Pelodiscus sinensis: one gene and its partner. The protein of the gene in region 1 interacts with the protein of each later gene in a pairwise test. Links are inferred from orthologs where the notes say so. Each region holds a gene or a part of one and is shown on either strand. Other genes may lie near its edges.

Region 1 (7,286 bases):
AGCACCAGACAAGAGAGTTATCCCTGTGCTCACTGCCTAATTTCCTGTCTTCTTGATGTATTAAGCATATAATTCTTGCTGCTTTTTTGCAATTTATGTTTACCCAGATTTTGGGTCTAGAGACGTTATCAGATTTGAATAAAAAGCAAAGCAGGCTATTTTAGCACAAAGAAATACAGGTTGAACCGCTCTAGTCTGGCACACTCTGGCCCTGCAACATCCGTGGTCCCACATAATTTTAGTTATCTAGATGTCCACGTATGGGTGTGGCCAAGTTTCCCGTCATCCCATAAAGTTTCTTTAAAGCCACTAGTCCTGTCTCAGTGTTCTGTGCTGTTATTTAGCTCTAATTTACCCCATAAGACTTCTAAGAGCCCAGTAAGCAGTGAAAGTGTTGGAAATGCTGCTACACAATACTGACCACCCCCACCATGGTCTTGCAAATTATCTGGTTTGGCACTGGCCAAGTCCCAAGGGTTTAACCTGTATGGCTGTGTCTAGACTGGCATGATTTTCCGGAAATGCTTTTAACAGAAAAGTTTTCCGTTAAAAGTATTTTCGGAACACAGCATCTAGATTGGCATGGACGCTTTTCTGCAAAAGCACTTTTTGCAGAAAAGCGTCCGTGCCAATCTAGACGCGCTTTTCCACAAAAAAGCCCCAATCGACATTTTCGCGATCGGGGCTCTTTTGCACAAAACAAATCTGAGCTGTCTACACTGGCCCTTTTGCGCAAAAGTTTTGCGCAAAAGGACTTTTGCCCGAACGGGAGCAGCATAGTATTTCTGCAAGAACACTGACAATCTTACATGAGATCATCAGTGCTTTTGCAGAAATTCAAGCATCCAGTGTAGACAGCTGGCAAGTTTTTCCAGAAAAGCGGCTGATTTTCCGGAAAAACTGGCCTGTCTAGACATAGCCTATGTGTTTAGAATTGGGATTACCAGTTAACCAGTGTTGACAAAGCCATGCTTTCCAGGGTGCCTACCATGGGGGAGGGATGCACCAGTCCAGCCAGACCCTAAGCGAGGAGCTGGTTATCATATGTTTAACTGCTTAACATTTTAAACAGGATTTTACATCTCTAGTCTAGAACCTCAGGCTTCTAACTCAGAGTGGTAGGAATATGCAGTTCTCGTTAGCTCATGAGATTATTGTAAAGTGAATATAGATGTAAGCCTTGTGCAGCCAAAAGACAGCAAATTGTGTGTTGAAGCATGGAAGATAATGAATTCTCGCTACAGCCAGACAACAGATATCTTTAAGATACTTCCTTTCGGAGGAATGGTGGGCTTCTGCCCACAATAATAAAGAAGGCTTAACACAAGAAGGGGAATCAGCCACCATTATGTCTAGATGTACAGTTTTCTACATTTTATGTCTGCCCTATATAAGCCAGTTCTATGATTCACAGCATTCACTGGGTCTGCCCTGTTATTCCATTACTTAATGCCTAATCCTGCCAGAAGCTGAGCACCTTCAGCCATGACTGAAGTCACTTGAAGTCTTTAGACAGGCAAGAATGGGACTTTATCCTGGAAGTCTTGTTATTGTACTGTGAGGTTACAGTTCTGCTTCACAGACAGTACACCTGTGATTCCACTCACTGGCAGGCAGGAACTGAAGAGCCCTACTCATGCAGAGAGCAGTATCACATAGCAGAACTGGACTCAATCTTGGAATCTGTGCAAGTCTTCCTCTCTCCAACGGTGCTCGTCATGCACAAAATATTTTGTAAGTATAATGCAGTTTAATATTTTTTTTAAATTGTCATGTCACTAAGCAACCTCCAAATACATCAGATATCACAGAATCCTCTAATGTATGCAGATTTATAGACTATCAACATTTTCTCTAGAACTCTTAAAGCTTCAGATCTCATTCATTAGGTACCTCCATATTCACTTCTCTGGAAGCTTCTCAATACCTTCAATTCAGATAATAAAACAATCCATTTATGCTTTCATAGGGGTGGGGGGTAAACTTTGCAAACAATATGACCCACAGGAGACATTTGGACAGTTCACTCACCCCTCACTCCAAAACCATTTCCTAAAATGTCAGTGGAGGAAACCTGGATGTCATCACTTCACACTCACACCCCCAATTGCACTTACAAACTCTTCACTCTGAAGCCCAGAGAGCTGAGATTGGAACAGGAAAGGGGGCGTCATGAGGGAGTCACAGAGGAAAGGAAAAATGAGAGAGTAGATGGGAGAACTGCAGGAGGGACCTGAGGCAATGACTACTTGGGAAGAGGCAATAGTAGCAGGAGATGAAGGGGGGGGAGGAGAAGAGTGTCGGGAGGAAAGCCAAGGTGTGTGGGGAGCAGTATGCCTGTTTTAATCATTTTATCACAGCCTGCTAAAATGGGGGAGATCTTAGGGTTCAGTGTTGGGATGAGAAGATGCCAAGACAGCGGTGGGTGGGGAATCTGAAGCATCAGCTGCACAGAATGAAAACAGGGGAAGCTCTAAGTGGTGGGCAATTTCAGGGGTCAGTGGGGGAGCCGGAAAGGCCCCAAGGGAAGCACAGGAATCAGCCTGGGGATGCAAAGAGGCTGAGTGAAGGCCCGTGGAGTTGGCACAGACAGGAAAATGCTGAGGCTGCTGGTGGAGGTCTCGGAGAGGGGGGATGACAGGCTGGCACTGACACTGGGAGGTGGGTACAGGGAGGGGTGGGGTCTCCGGGGTCAGCTACAGAAGGGCAGGGAGCCCCCGGGGATGGTTATGGCGGGGCGGGGAGGCAGGACGGAGCCGACGCGAGGGGATGGGGGTCCCGTAGGGACACGGGGGGGGGAATGGGACGACGCTGGCGGCGGGGGGGGGGGGGTCTCTGGTAACGGGACGGCGCCGCCGGGGGAGCGGGCGAGGGCTCCGGCCGACAGGGGCGGGGCTGGGGAGGCTCGGCCCGGGCCCGGGGAGGCTCGGCCCGGGCCCGCAGGGAGCTGGCGGGCGAGGCCCGGGCGGGGGGGGCGGCGAGCAGGCCGGCCCGGGTGCCCGCGGGGGAGGTGGGAGCCAGCGGCGCCTGCCGCAGGGAAGGTCCCAGGGGCCCGCCCGGCCCCGGGTGCTGGGAGCCGCGCTCCCCGGCCGTGCCACGGCCGCCCCCGGGGCCCCGCCCCGCGCGCCCCCCGCTGAGGGGAGGCCGCTCACTCACTTTCGCCTCCACCAGTTCCGCCGCCATCTTGGCTTCCAGCGTCCACCGGCGCGCCGGGAGCCGCCGCCGAGTCACGTGACACGCACCCTTTCCTTCCTCGCCCTCCCTCCTCCCCCCCCCCCCGAGGGGGCGGGCTTAGGGAAGAGCGGGGAACCAATCCCATCGCGCTCCAGCCCCCCGCCCCTCGCCGGCCGCCCGCCCGCGCACGCGCGCTGCCGCCCACTCCCGCCCCGCCCATGACCCCGTTCTAGCCGCCTCCGGGCTCTTAAAGTGACAGAGCCGGGGGGCTGGGGAGGGGGGACAGCGCCAGGCCCGGGGCAGAACGGGGCGCTGCAAACCCCGCTCCTCCCGGGGAGCTGGGCCCCGGCCAGCAACAGGGCCCTCGTCTGCGGGCGGGGCAGCCAGAGAACGGGCTTTAATTAATTAATTAATTAATTAATAATTAATTAGCCCACTGGCGGGCTAACAAAGGCCATTAATGGGAAGGCGAGGCAGAGAGCAATTAGCCCCCTGCATTGCTTATGAAGGGGCTCACCGCAGCCAACCCGCCACGGGCTTCGTGGGGTGGGAGACAAGGCCATGCTGGCTCCTGCACCCCCGTGCCGTTGAATTCATGGGGTGCCTAGTTCTGCATTGCCTGCAGGGGAGCGTATGGGGGGGGCTGTTGCTCTGGCAAGTTAGCCCCTGGATTCCGGGGATAATCCTGCCCTCCCCCCAGCAAGGCATGTACACGCTAGTTGGGGTACAAGTTGCAGAGCTGGGGTGCTGTGTGCCATTGAATCAAACTGTAAATAAACTCAGTTTGGTGGAAATTGCTCCGAGCCAGGGGATGCCGCTGTGCCCTCAGTTTCAGAATCTTTCCCATGATCTAGTTGTGTCTGCACTGGACGTGAGGTCGACGTAGCTACAGCGTGCAGGAGTGTGGATTTGTCACACTCCGCACTTCTATAGCTGCATCCACCTATGTGGTGTGCAGATCAGGCCAAAGCCTACCGCAAACCTGGATTATATATGGCCAGAATAAGAATCTCCTTTGAATGTGTTGGGGTCAAATGCATATGAAATGTTCTTTCGGAAAACAAACCGCCATCCCCCCTATACACACATACATATCCACCACAGCAAATTAAAATAGAAAAGCCTCTGTGAAACCAGAAACAAACCTTTTATAAAACAAATACATCTTTCGGATTTCTCTTACCCATCACAGAGCAGCATAAAAGGACATGAGCTGGAATTGGTTTCCTTTGTTCACCCTTTCAGAATCTCTGCTGGGCATATACAGTGAGCACTTTTCAAACTTGTATATTTGTTCCAGCTGTTTTTCATTCAAACTTTGTTGGGCCAGCCATAGGAGTTCAAAATATCACAAGAATGGCTTAAAAGTCATGGGATTTTAAAAAATAATATATTTGGAGTTCTTTTAATTTCCCTTTTGGCTTTTAACCTTTCTACTCAAGCTTTTTTTCCACAGCCACAGGGGATTAGTAACTTTTTTTTTAAAGAGCTGGTCTAAAATACAAAGCTGGGTTGGTCCAACTATATTGTTCAGGGCTGCGAAAAATTTACTCTCCTGTGCCATGTAATTAAAGCTGACCTAAGACCTGGAGTAGTAGATACAGAGGTTGGCAGAAGAATTCTTCTATCAGACAAGCTACCACTTTGTGGAGAGGTGGATTCGCTTGGCAATAACTGTGCAGCACAGCTGCAGCATGGAAGCTCCACTACTGGAGTGTTTCTACTGTAGACGTACCCTTAGATATTAATGGAATCGCTTGCTTCCAGAAGTCGGGGCTTTTAAGAAAGTCACCGCCTATCATGAGACCTTGTAATAAAATTGCAAGTGTTGGCAACCACACAAAGAAGACAAAAAGACACTGTTGATCCCTGGCCAAGATTTACGTGCCCAAACTTAGACTGCTAGGTTCATATTTAGGCATCTCTCGGAATGACCTTGTTTACAAAAGTGCTGAACACGGAGCAGCTCCCACTGATGTCTTTTGGAAGTCAGGCCCTTATTCTGCAAAGTCTTAATGAGAATGGTTAACATTATGCACTATGACAAGTCCTGCACATAAACAAGTTAACCATGCACATAAGCATGCCCATAAATCTTTAAAGGATTGGGGATTTATAGGCCTAAATGTAAAGGTCTGGAAAACATGGCCGTTGAGGGAAGGTTGAAATAATCGGGTTTGTTTAATCTGGAAAAGAAAAGACTGAGAACGGACATACTAAGAGTTTTCAAGTTTCTAAAAGGTTGTTACAAGGAGGAGGGTGAAAAATTACTCTCCTTAATCTCTGAGGACAGGACAAGAAGCAATGGGCTTAAATTGCAGCAAGGGAGGTTCAGGTTAGACATCAGGACAATCTTTCTGTCCGGGTGGTTAAACACTGGAATAAATTGCCCAGGGAAGTTGTGAAATCTCCATCATTGGAGATATTTAAGAGCAGGTTAGACAATTACCTGTCCATGGTGCTTGATCCTGCCATGAGTGCAGGGGACTGGACTGGACAACCTCAAAAGGTCCCTTCCACTTCTACGATTCTATGTCTCCCTTTTTAAAAATCTTAGACCTTAGGGACAATGGGAGACATTTTCACAGCCACAAATGGCACAAAGGCCATGAAAGATGGGGGCCAAACTCCTAAGGCAGAATGTTCCATGACGCCCATGCCTGTTTGCAGACATCACAGATGCACGTAGGAGCCTAGATGTCATTGAAAGGCAAGAATAACCCTCTTATCCAGTCTCTCCTCTGAAGTGCTTTGCAAAAGAGGTCAATATCAGTGGCCCCATTTCACAGGTAGAGAAACCGATGTATGGAGAAGGGATGCGATTTGACAAAAAGCACCCAATAAGCTAGCAGTAGAATTAAATATAGAACCCAGGTCTCCTAAGTCTGACTTTAACCCACCAGCAATGAGGCAACGCTGTTTAGGCTTTTTAAGGCTATGTTACATGCAGAGAGGTGTCAAGTGGGTCTTTTATGTACCTAGGTGCCTAACTCCTGCTTGTGCAGAGCCCCAAGATGTCAATAAATAAATAATCCCCAGCTTGTATGTGGCACTTTTCATCAGTAGATTTCAGGTGTCTCTCGGATTCTTCCCCATCACACCCCCGTGTTTTACAAAGGAGGGTAGTATCCTTAGTCCCATTTTACAGATGAGGACACACAGAGAACATGCAGCAGGCTGTACAGGAGTCCAAGGCTCTATCCAGGTGGGCCAACTTTCAGGATCGGGGCCTAAATTCTTGATTCTGCATTACAGCTACATCTGGATTTTGGTTATTACCTCTTCTGTTTTCCCTTGATCACAACTTTCCAAAAAAGTTGTCATCTCTGGAGTTGAAACTTTCTTCGCTTAAAGTCAGACTAGAGTGGATTTTTGTTAAAAGAAAAATGGGGAAAAAAATCTTTTCAGATGGTTGGAGTTCTGAGACAATATGTTTTCATCTTAAAATATGAAAAGCAAAACTATTATGAAATTGAGCCAGTTTATGTGGGGAGTCAGGTTAAAAGTATACTGGCTCCCGCCCAGCTGTTTTCCTCCCACTTCCACTTCCTCTGTGTCAGTATTGCGGAGGGACAGGTGGGAGCAGCCATGTGCAGGGAGCCAGCTTTCAAGTCATCTCCCCACACATACTGGCTCCTGCAGAGACACCTCTGCCTCCCCTTTGCTGCTTCTAGCAGCAGCGTGGGGCAGGCTCCCTGGGAGCCACACCTTCCCCCCTTCCTGCTCTCTGCAAGCAAATGTGTGCCTGCTGACATTTTCAGCAGGTACACCTTTACCAAACTAAACACATTTTAATATCCCTAATGTGAGCAGGAGCTGCAGAAAGCCTTTGTCCTTTGTCGACAGGGTTGAAAGACATGGGCAAAGGGAAGCCCCTTTTCAAACTTTCGGTGTAGGGTAACCTACCCCCTAAGCTGTCTGAGCATTGCCCCGGCTCTGTAAAGCCGGAGGCATGTGGGATGAAAGCGGACTCGCTCAAAACACACCCACACCTCAACTATTGCCTTATACATGGGTGGTTGGTGCAGCTGGGACCGGGGGAGGCAGGCCTCCTACCCCCTCTGCTGAGACCCCGCCCTCCCAGGGAGGAGGTGGGGCAGCACGCCGAGCAC
Region 2 (7,711 bases), on another chromosome or scaffold:
TGGCATTCAATCACACTGGATAAGTATGTTAGCTCAAAATAAAAAGCCCCCAGGTAGTTTCTAGCATCAACAATCAAATTATATTATCCTAACAAATTTAATGCCCTATGAGGGTAAATAAGGTCAGGTTCACACTTCTCTAATATGTATTGTTTGTCTCTCTTGTAGACTCAGGAAGACAACTTTGCATCAGGTCACACTGAGGTTTTTTTTTTTTTTTTTTGCAGTCATAAGGTCTATTTGCTATTTAAATGAAAGCTGCAGAGACTGAGAAAGAAGCAGAAAAGTGCCAAAAATGACATTCTAGCTCACTCTGAACCTTGTTTGCAAGCCTCTGAAATTAAACATTTATAACTGAAGCAAATTTAACTATTTTAAATCTTTTAATCTGCATGGAGTGCCACTCAAGTACATGAAATCTCCATTTTCTTTCTTGCCTTCTCTCCAGACAGGCTTGTTCCTTCCTACTTATTGTTACAGTATTTGTAAATATTATCACCAAGAGCTATTCCCAAAAGAGAAAAATAATTAATATTTGTTATTGATCCAATCCTAGCCCAGAAAGACCACGAAAATGGATCATCTTTGTTTATATGTGTCTGGTAACGATGTCAGGCCTCATTTTATCGTGTGTGTGTGTGTGTGTGTGTGTGTGTGTGTGTGTGTGTGTGTGTGTGTGTGTGTGTGTGTGTGTGTGTGTGTGTGTGTGTGTGTGTGTGTGTGTGTGTGTGTGTGTGTGTGTGTGTGTGTGTCTCTCTCTCTCTCTCTCTCTCTCTCTCTCACCCTGGTGCTGTTAAAAAAGCAATTAGGTTAACAGTGCCCTGGCTCCAACTGTCTGTCAAATGCTGAATTGCAATGCAAATTAACTCCAGTTTATCACTCTTAACTTTTCAAAGACAATTGCGTAACAGGAAAGTCTCCAGAAACCTCCATATGAATAGTGTCTGGAAAGAAAAGGTATAGTTTTTATTTTGTATTTGATTTCACTTCCATAATCAAATGTATTTGTCCATATTTTTGATGATGGATTTAATTCATATGTACAAATTACTTTTCTCTTGTTAAAAATAAATCAAGTTGGAAAAACAGCTTTAAATTAACCTACAGATCACATAGTTGAGAAATTTTTGTCTGTTTGTTAGTCCAAACCCAGTTTATTTAAATCAGATAATTAGGCCCTTTAAAGTCAAAGGGATAAGTTTATCCCATTCCCTGGAGTTGTATTAGAGATGAGTTTCACACCCAAGAGTAAATTGAACAGATACACTGGTTGATGACACCCTCTCCATTATCTGAATGACATTGTCATATCCCCGGGATATTTCAACATGCATTTTTTTGCTTCCTAACTGTCGCTCTTGGAGAAGAGGACGTATTTGGTTCACATCTACTTGCCAACGAATAAATACAGTAACATCAGGGGATGCTTTAATGGGCTTATTTATATGATTTAAATGTACTGGTTTGGCCTAACAAGTCAGATTTTATACAGTAACTATTAAAAAAAGAGAACACATACTTCTTTATTCTTTCCATTTTAGACACATGTCCATTTCCCTAAGTACATCTAAATCTAGCTTTTTAGAAAAATAAGACATGGAATTAATGATTGAAAGAGGTATAATATGGAAGAACCTGCCCCTGATTGTATGATAAATAGTGAAAAAAACAGTTAAAAACACAAAATATTTGCACTTTTTAATTGATTATTGATTTAATCTTTTTCTTTGTGACATTTAATAAAGCCATACAAGGACAATTAAATAATTAATTTATTCCAAATAATACAATAAATTTCACCTGCAGGGCTCAAGGTACTTTACAAAGGAGGATAAATATTTGTTTCCCCATTTCACAGATAGAAAAACTGAGGTGCAGAAAAGATGAGGTTTCTATTGAAGCTAGTGGCAAAATCAGTAGCAGAGCTGGAAGAAGTACCCAAGTCACCTGAGTTCCAGTTTTGTGCTCTGTCCATTGGACCACATTTTGTCCTGGCACAGCACATTGCTAATTACCATTCTTGTCACTCTGGTTTGTAAATATAGGAATCTCTGCATTACTATTATCAAAATAACTAATAATGCAAACATAAATCACAATAGAAAAAGTGATGATTATAAAGGAAAAATTATACCCCTTATTCACCGTGAACGAATGGTTTGAATCCACCTCATTTATAGTAGTTTGGACAGCTTTTGACATAAAACAAGAATGTAATGCACATGGTAATAGGTGTGTCTATCTAATCTGGTCTTTCAGTATCAGCAGAAGCAGGGAAAGTATCTCTCAGTTTATCATATATACCACAGTGATAAAAGGTTTTGAGATTCTCTACACTGCTATAATAAAAAGAGGAGACAGTTTAAAAAAATAAGGTCACCTCTGAGGCTCATGAAAGAGATATTAAAAGAAAGAAATGTAATTTATTTTCAATTTTTCAAGTCTCCGAAGTGACCATTAAAAAAATTGCACTGTACTGGAAAGTGCAGCAAACTTAAAAGCTGATGCCCTGGCTGCACTATATGGCCATTAATCCTTTGTTACTTCAAGGTTAGATTACTGCAATGCACTCTCCATGGGGCTGCACTGTTCAGAAATTGCGGAGTGTGGTGGCCCATGTGTTAAGAAAAGCTTATATTTACTCTGAAATATAATTTTATGTATGTATGTATATTTCTGTAGCACCTAGGAACCCTAAGCATGGAACCTACTGGGCTTGGTACAGAAGCAGAACAAAAAGTCCAACTGTTCAGGGTGAAATTTCTGGTGTTTATCCTCTGATTACCTTCCCTATAAAGCCATAAATCAGCCTTGATAAATTCTTCACCTAAATGCCCTGAGCAAAAAAAAAAAAAAAAAAAAAAGGACAAACCAATCATAGGGACAAAGGACAGGTGAATAGGTTTTATTCCCAGGATGGTATGTTTTCACTAGAATTTTTCAAGACAGTTCTACAGGCTTGGCTTCCAACTACCTTGATCCTGCCAGTAACACAAACAGCTTTTGTGCATGTGAATAGTTTCATTGGAGTATTGAGTCCTGAGGTGTGTATTTGCAGGATAAGGCCTACTACATTTGAGTCTGCATTCTTTGTGCATCCAATGCACCTGGAGAAGTCAATTCCAGGAATGCAGTGCATCTACAGTATGTATGTTCTAGGACGTTTTAGAATAATAACTCTTGGGCTGTCTGTGTTTTATGGGTTTTGTCTTGTTTATTTCACTGAAATTACTTTGGAATCAGGTTTGTTTATAGTAGCTAGTGTTCAGAGCATGTGATTTTAGAAACATGGGTCTGTTTCCAACTCTGCAACTGACTTTACAATATGACCTTAAGCAACTCACTTGTTGGTCTGGGCCTGGTCTCTGGCAACACTTGCACACATGAATAATCCTATTAAATCCTATGTCAGTGTTTGCAAGATTGTGATTTTCAGGATTAAAGCCCAGCACTAGATCTGGGTTGGTCTCCAGCTCTAGTGCTGTGTCATCACATATAACCACTGTGTCTCAGTTTACCCCTCTGCAAAACTGGCATAGTAAGCCTGACTTGATGGGGGATATGAAAGGCTTCATTTATTAAAAATGTCAGGTTCTTTGAAGCATTGCACTATATAGTGCAAAGTGTTGTGATGATGTTTTATTAATATCCATGGCTCATTTTCCTCACTTGTAAGAAAGGGTTAATTACACTTACCCACCATTGAGATCCTCTGATGACAAGTGCTGTACAAGTGCAAAGTGTTTTCATTACATTTTACCTAATGTCTTTCTTTGGCTTTACAAATTAACTGTTGATTTAGTTTATAGATTTTTTAAAAATTGCAATTTATTATGGCATTTATTTATTTTACACAACCACAGTTGTAGGCCTCCCCTCCTGTGGTCAGATACAGGGCCTTTGGACAGACACAGGGAACTGCATCAAACAATCCTATTTCAGGATCTTTGTTTTACTTTTTCTGGGTGTTTTCTACACCCTCTTTTCTCACCCATCTGAAAAACCATCTTTTTGCATCCTTTGTGCAAGCACCTCGTATATATGTCTCTTTAATAAGGGCCCAATGCACAGCTCCACCTGACCCCAACTAAAAACAAATCTGCCAGTAACTTCAATGCAAAGAGAGCCACAAATTACAGTAATAATCCAGCATGCAGAAAAACAAAACAAAAAAGCCCAAACTGAGTCTGCAAACTCTTTTTTTGAATGTGAAAGCAAACCCTGTCGATACAAATATCGAGCAAGCTACCCCTCACCGCAGCATCTCACTGATAAATATCCTCTTGAGTTCATCTCCATGAGCAATTATTTCCTTGGTGCACTGTATCTTGATCGTGGTTTGGTTTTTTTTTAAAGAAAATTAATGTATTTCTTGAATGTGATGTGAATTCTATGCACTTCCCCTACCCGCTCCCCTCCTCGCTCTCCAGACTTCAGAAATAAAAAAATAGCTTTTAGAAACCCGATCTGTTGTTTGCGCAACACAATCACTTTTTTTTTTAAAGCGACAGGGTGTCTAGACGCCCACGTGATTGGGGGCCGGGGCTGGGCAGCGATACTGCGCACTGCGAGTCACCGAGGCAAAGCGGCGAGGAGGGGGGAAGGAGAGGAGGAGGAGGAGGCTGTTGGCTGGCTAGAGAGCCGAGCTGGCGGACGGCTGCAAGGCTATGGACACTGCTAGGTAATAGCCACCTCACTTGGGAGCCCCCCTCCTCTTCGCAGGCCACCCCCTCCAAAAGACAAGGAACTCCCCCTGTCGCCCAAGGGAAGGAAGAAGAAAAAGGTGTGTGCGTGTGGGGAGAGACAGAATCTTCTGCAATGAGCGCTCTGTGAAGGAAGAAGGGAGTGGAAAAAGGAGGGGAAGGAGGAAAAAAAAAGGCAAAGCAACCCAAGCGAGCCAAGCAAAAGGAGCTGCTTTTTTCCCCCGTGTGTGTTGATAGCCGATGCAAGGACTGGAAAGGCTGCCTTGGAGGAGGAGAGCTGCAGCCAGAAGGGAAGGAAGAAGAGCGAACGGCTGCATTAGCATGTACTAGCGAGAGAAAGAGCGAGACAGAAGAGAGACTGAAGGGGGGGGGGGGGGGCAGGTGATAATTTCAGCGCCTGTCATTCATTATAGGATCATCCCTGCCACTTCTCACCCATCCGTCCTTTTATTTTGTAAGGGTTGGGTGGGAGGAGAGGTGGGGGCAACTGTATTTTAAGAAAAACTGTCCCTACCTCCTGGTCTTTCTGAAAGGCAGCCAGGGAGAGGGGAGCGGAACCAGCCTTTTGGAAGGGAAGAGAGACTCCCACTTTTAAATATATATATATATATATATATATATATATATATATATATATATATATATATATATCTTAGCAGCCGCCTCGACGATTTTTTTGGTGTGTGGATTAAAATCTTTGCTAAGAAGAAGGGGAAAAAGCATCAGGAAGACTTGGGCGCTTTTTTAAAAAGGATGTAACATTCTTGGGTGCATTTTTTTTAAAAAAAATGTAAGTTTTTGTGATTATTCAGACGTCCACATTTTAGTTTTTTTTTTAAATTATGAGTTCTTTTGGCTCTTTCTTTTTAAAAATCCACCCCCTCTTGTAGAAAATCCTTTTTTCCCAGTCCCCTTCCAAAAAACTCTTATTTTTATGGAATCTATGGATATGTTATTACTAAGGAAATAGGGGTTTTTTTTTTTAAATCGTGTGCCTTCGTTTTGCAACACAGTTTTTGGGGGATGGGGAACATCTTGATTTTTTTTTATCTAAAACAGTCATCCTCATCTGAAACCAAATGTGATCTAGAGATTTTGCAATCACTTTGACAGACCTGCAACACAAGAAGATCTGTTCTTCCCCTATCTCTTTGACGGGGGAGCATGTTTTCTGCAATTCTTCTGATACAGTGAACATTTGATTTCTCCCCTCCACCCCATCTCTTTTAGTTTCTGTTCTCCCAGTTCCTATTTAGAAGTAGTTGGTGAGAAATTCTGAATAGATCTGTATGAAACTGTAGGATTTCCAGCGGCTTTTTGAAGGATTTAAGAGAGACAGGAACAACTCCAGCCCTGTAAGAGACTGGCGTATGTTACAGATTGCTTTGGCTCTTCCACAACCTCCACCGCCACCAACCCTCCTCCCCACTATATCCCTATCATTTCAGGCTGCTTGTGTTGGCTGCCTGGACTCGGATCCCGGATTCTTCATGATTTGCGGACGACATGCTCGTTTTTTAGCCGGGAAACCTTCTTCTCGTCCCGCATGTTCAGGACCAAACGATCGGTGCTCGTCCGGCGACTCTGGAGGAGCCGTGCGCCCGGCGGGGAGGAGGAGGAAGGAGAGCCCGGGGAACCAGGAGCGGACAGCCGGGCGCATGGGGCTGGAGGCGGCCGGGGCTGTTGTATGGGCAAGTCGGGGAAGATCAGCAAAGCTCACCTCGGCTCGGAGGCGGAATTGAAAGCGCTGACCCACGCGGTCCTGAAGAGGCTGAAGGAGAAACAGCTGGAGGTGCTCTTGCAAGCGGTGGAATCCAAAGGGGGCACGCGGACCTCCTGCCTCCTCCTGCCCGGCAAGGTGGACTCCAAACTGGGCCAGCATTGGTACTCGCTCCCTTTGCTGCTGTGTAAAGTATTCAGGTGGCCCGATCTCAGGCATTGCTCGGAAGTGAAGAGGTTATGTTGCTGTGAATCTTATGGAAAAACTCACCCGGAGCTGGTTTGCTGCAATCCCCACCACCTCACCAGGCTCTGTGAACTAGGTACGCCGGAGGGCAGGCATGTGCACGGGTGGGAAACTCCCGAGCTGGGGTGGGTGAGCGGGTAGGAACACGGGAACTGCCGTATGCACAGAAAATAGGGACATAGGGGTGGGAGTCCAACACTGGTTCTGAGGATGGTTGGATAATCAGCGTCTATTGTCCGCGTTTGTGTCACACAATAGCCGAGGCTTCCAGGTTTTTTTACTCTGGCAAAATTCGCACGTCACCCTAGGAAGGTGCTTGGAGTTCGGGTTGCAATTTTTAGCCGGCCTCTTCCCTTGCAAGGCGCTTCTTGCACAGCGGGTTTCCTTTTTTTTTTTCTACCTGCAGTAAAACAAGGATGTGGTTCACTGTTGTCTATATGGAGAAGGCTGTGTACAAAAAAGGAAACCCTGTAACCCTTCAGATGCCTTGAACCTTTCAAACGATATTCAGCAGTGAATTTTTGCTTTAGAGAGGGTTGATAATTTGCAGAGAGGTCCCGGCGAACGAGCCAGACGTGCATAATCTAGATCTGCTTTGCTTTGGGAAATGGATCCCTGGAGTTTAGGTTTAATAACTGAATTTCCAGCCAGTCTTGGATTTACACAACAACCCAACTTTTGGACGCTAGTGGTTCGCAAATTCCCCCCTTAATATGAGAACGCATAGTTTAAGGATTGCAGTGTATCTTTTGGAAGCATGCTTCTCTCGCCTCCAGTCAGCAGAAAAGACTCAGAAAAGTTATCCGCCCGGGACCAAAACAAAAAACAAAAAAAAGGTTTTCAGTGCCTTTTTGTCGGTTAATGGAAATAGGGTTTTTTTGGCACGTTTAACTCCCGTGTTATTTACTCGATGGCCTAAAAGAGCGATCTCTGACTTGCATTTCATTTCCCCCTCCCCGTCTTTAAACATTGCAATTACTTGTAAACTTTGCTTAGTTGGTGTAGAATAGAAATCATCCAGTTCTGAGTAGAGGGGAGAAGT

What was found.
Region 2: the proteins of PIAS4 (region 1) and SMAD7 interact in a two-hybrid assay, tested with the Homo sapiens proteins (2 studies listed by BioGRID and IntAct). The link is inferred for Pelodiscus sinensis from reciprocal best matches to the Homo sapiens genes PIAS4 and SMAD7.

The regions. Positions count from the first base shown.
Region 1 is NC_134729.1:22,026,310-22,033,595, reverse strand, and holds the start of PIAS4 (E3 SUMO-protein ligase PIAS4), read right to left. Parts: upstream 3,290-7,286; 5' UTR 3,184-3,289; coding exon 3,157-3,183; intron 1-3,156.
Region 2 is NC_134716.1:116,248,645-116,256,355, forward strand, and holds the start of SMAD7 (mothers against decapentaplegic homolog 7), read left to right. Parts: upstream 1-4,569; 5' UTR 4,570-6,249; coding exon 6,250-6,745; intron 6,746-7,711. UniProt on the Homo sapiens protein: Antagonist of signaling by TGF-beta (transforming growth factor) type 1 receptor superfamily members; has been shown to inhibit TGF-beta (Transforming growth factor) and activin signaling by associating with their receptors thus preventing SMAD2 access.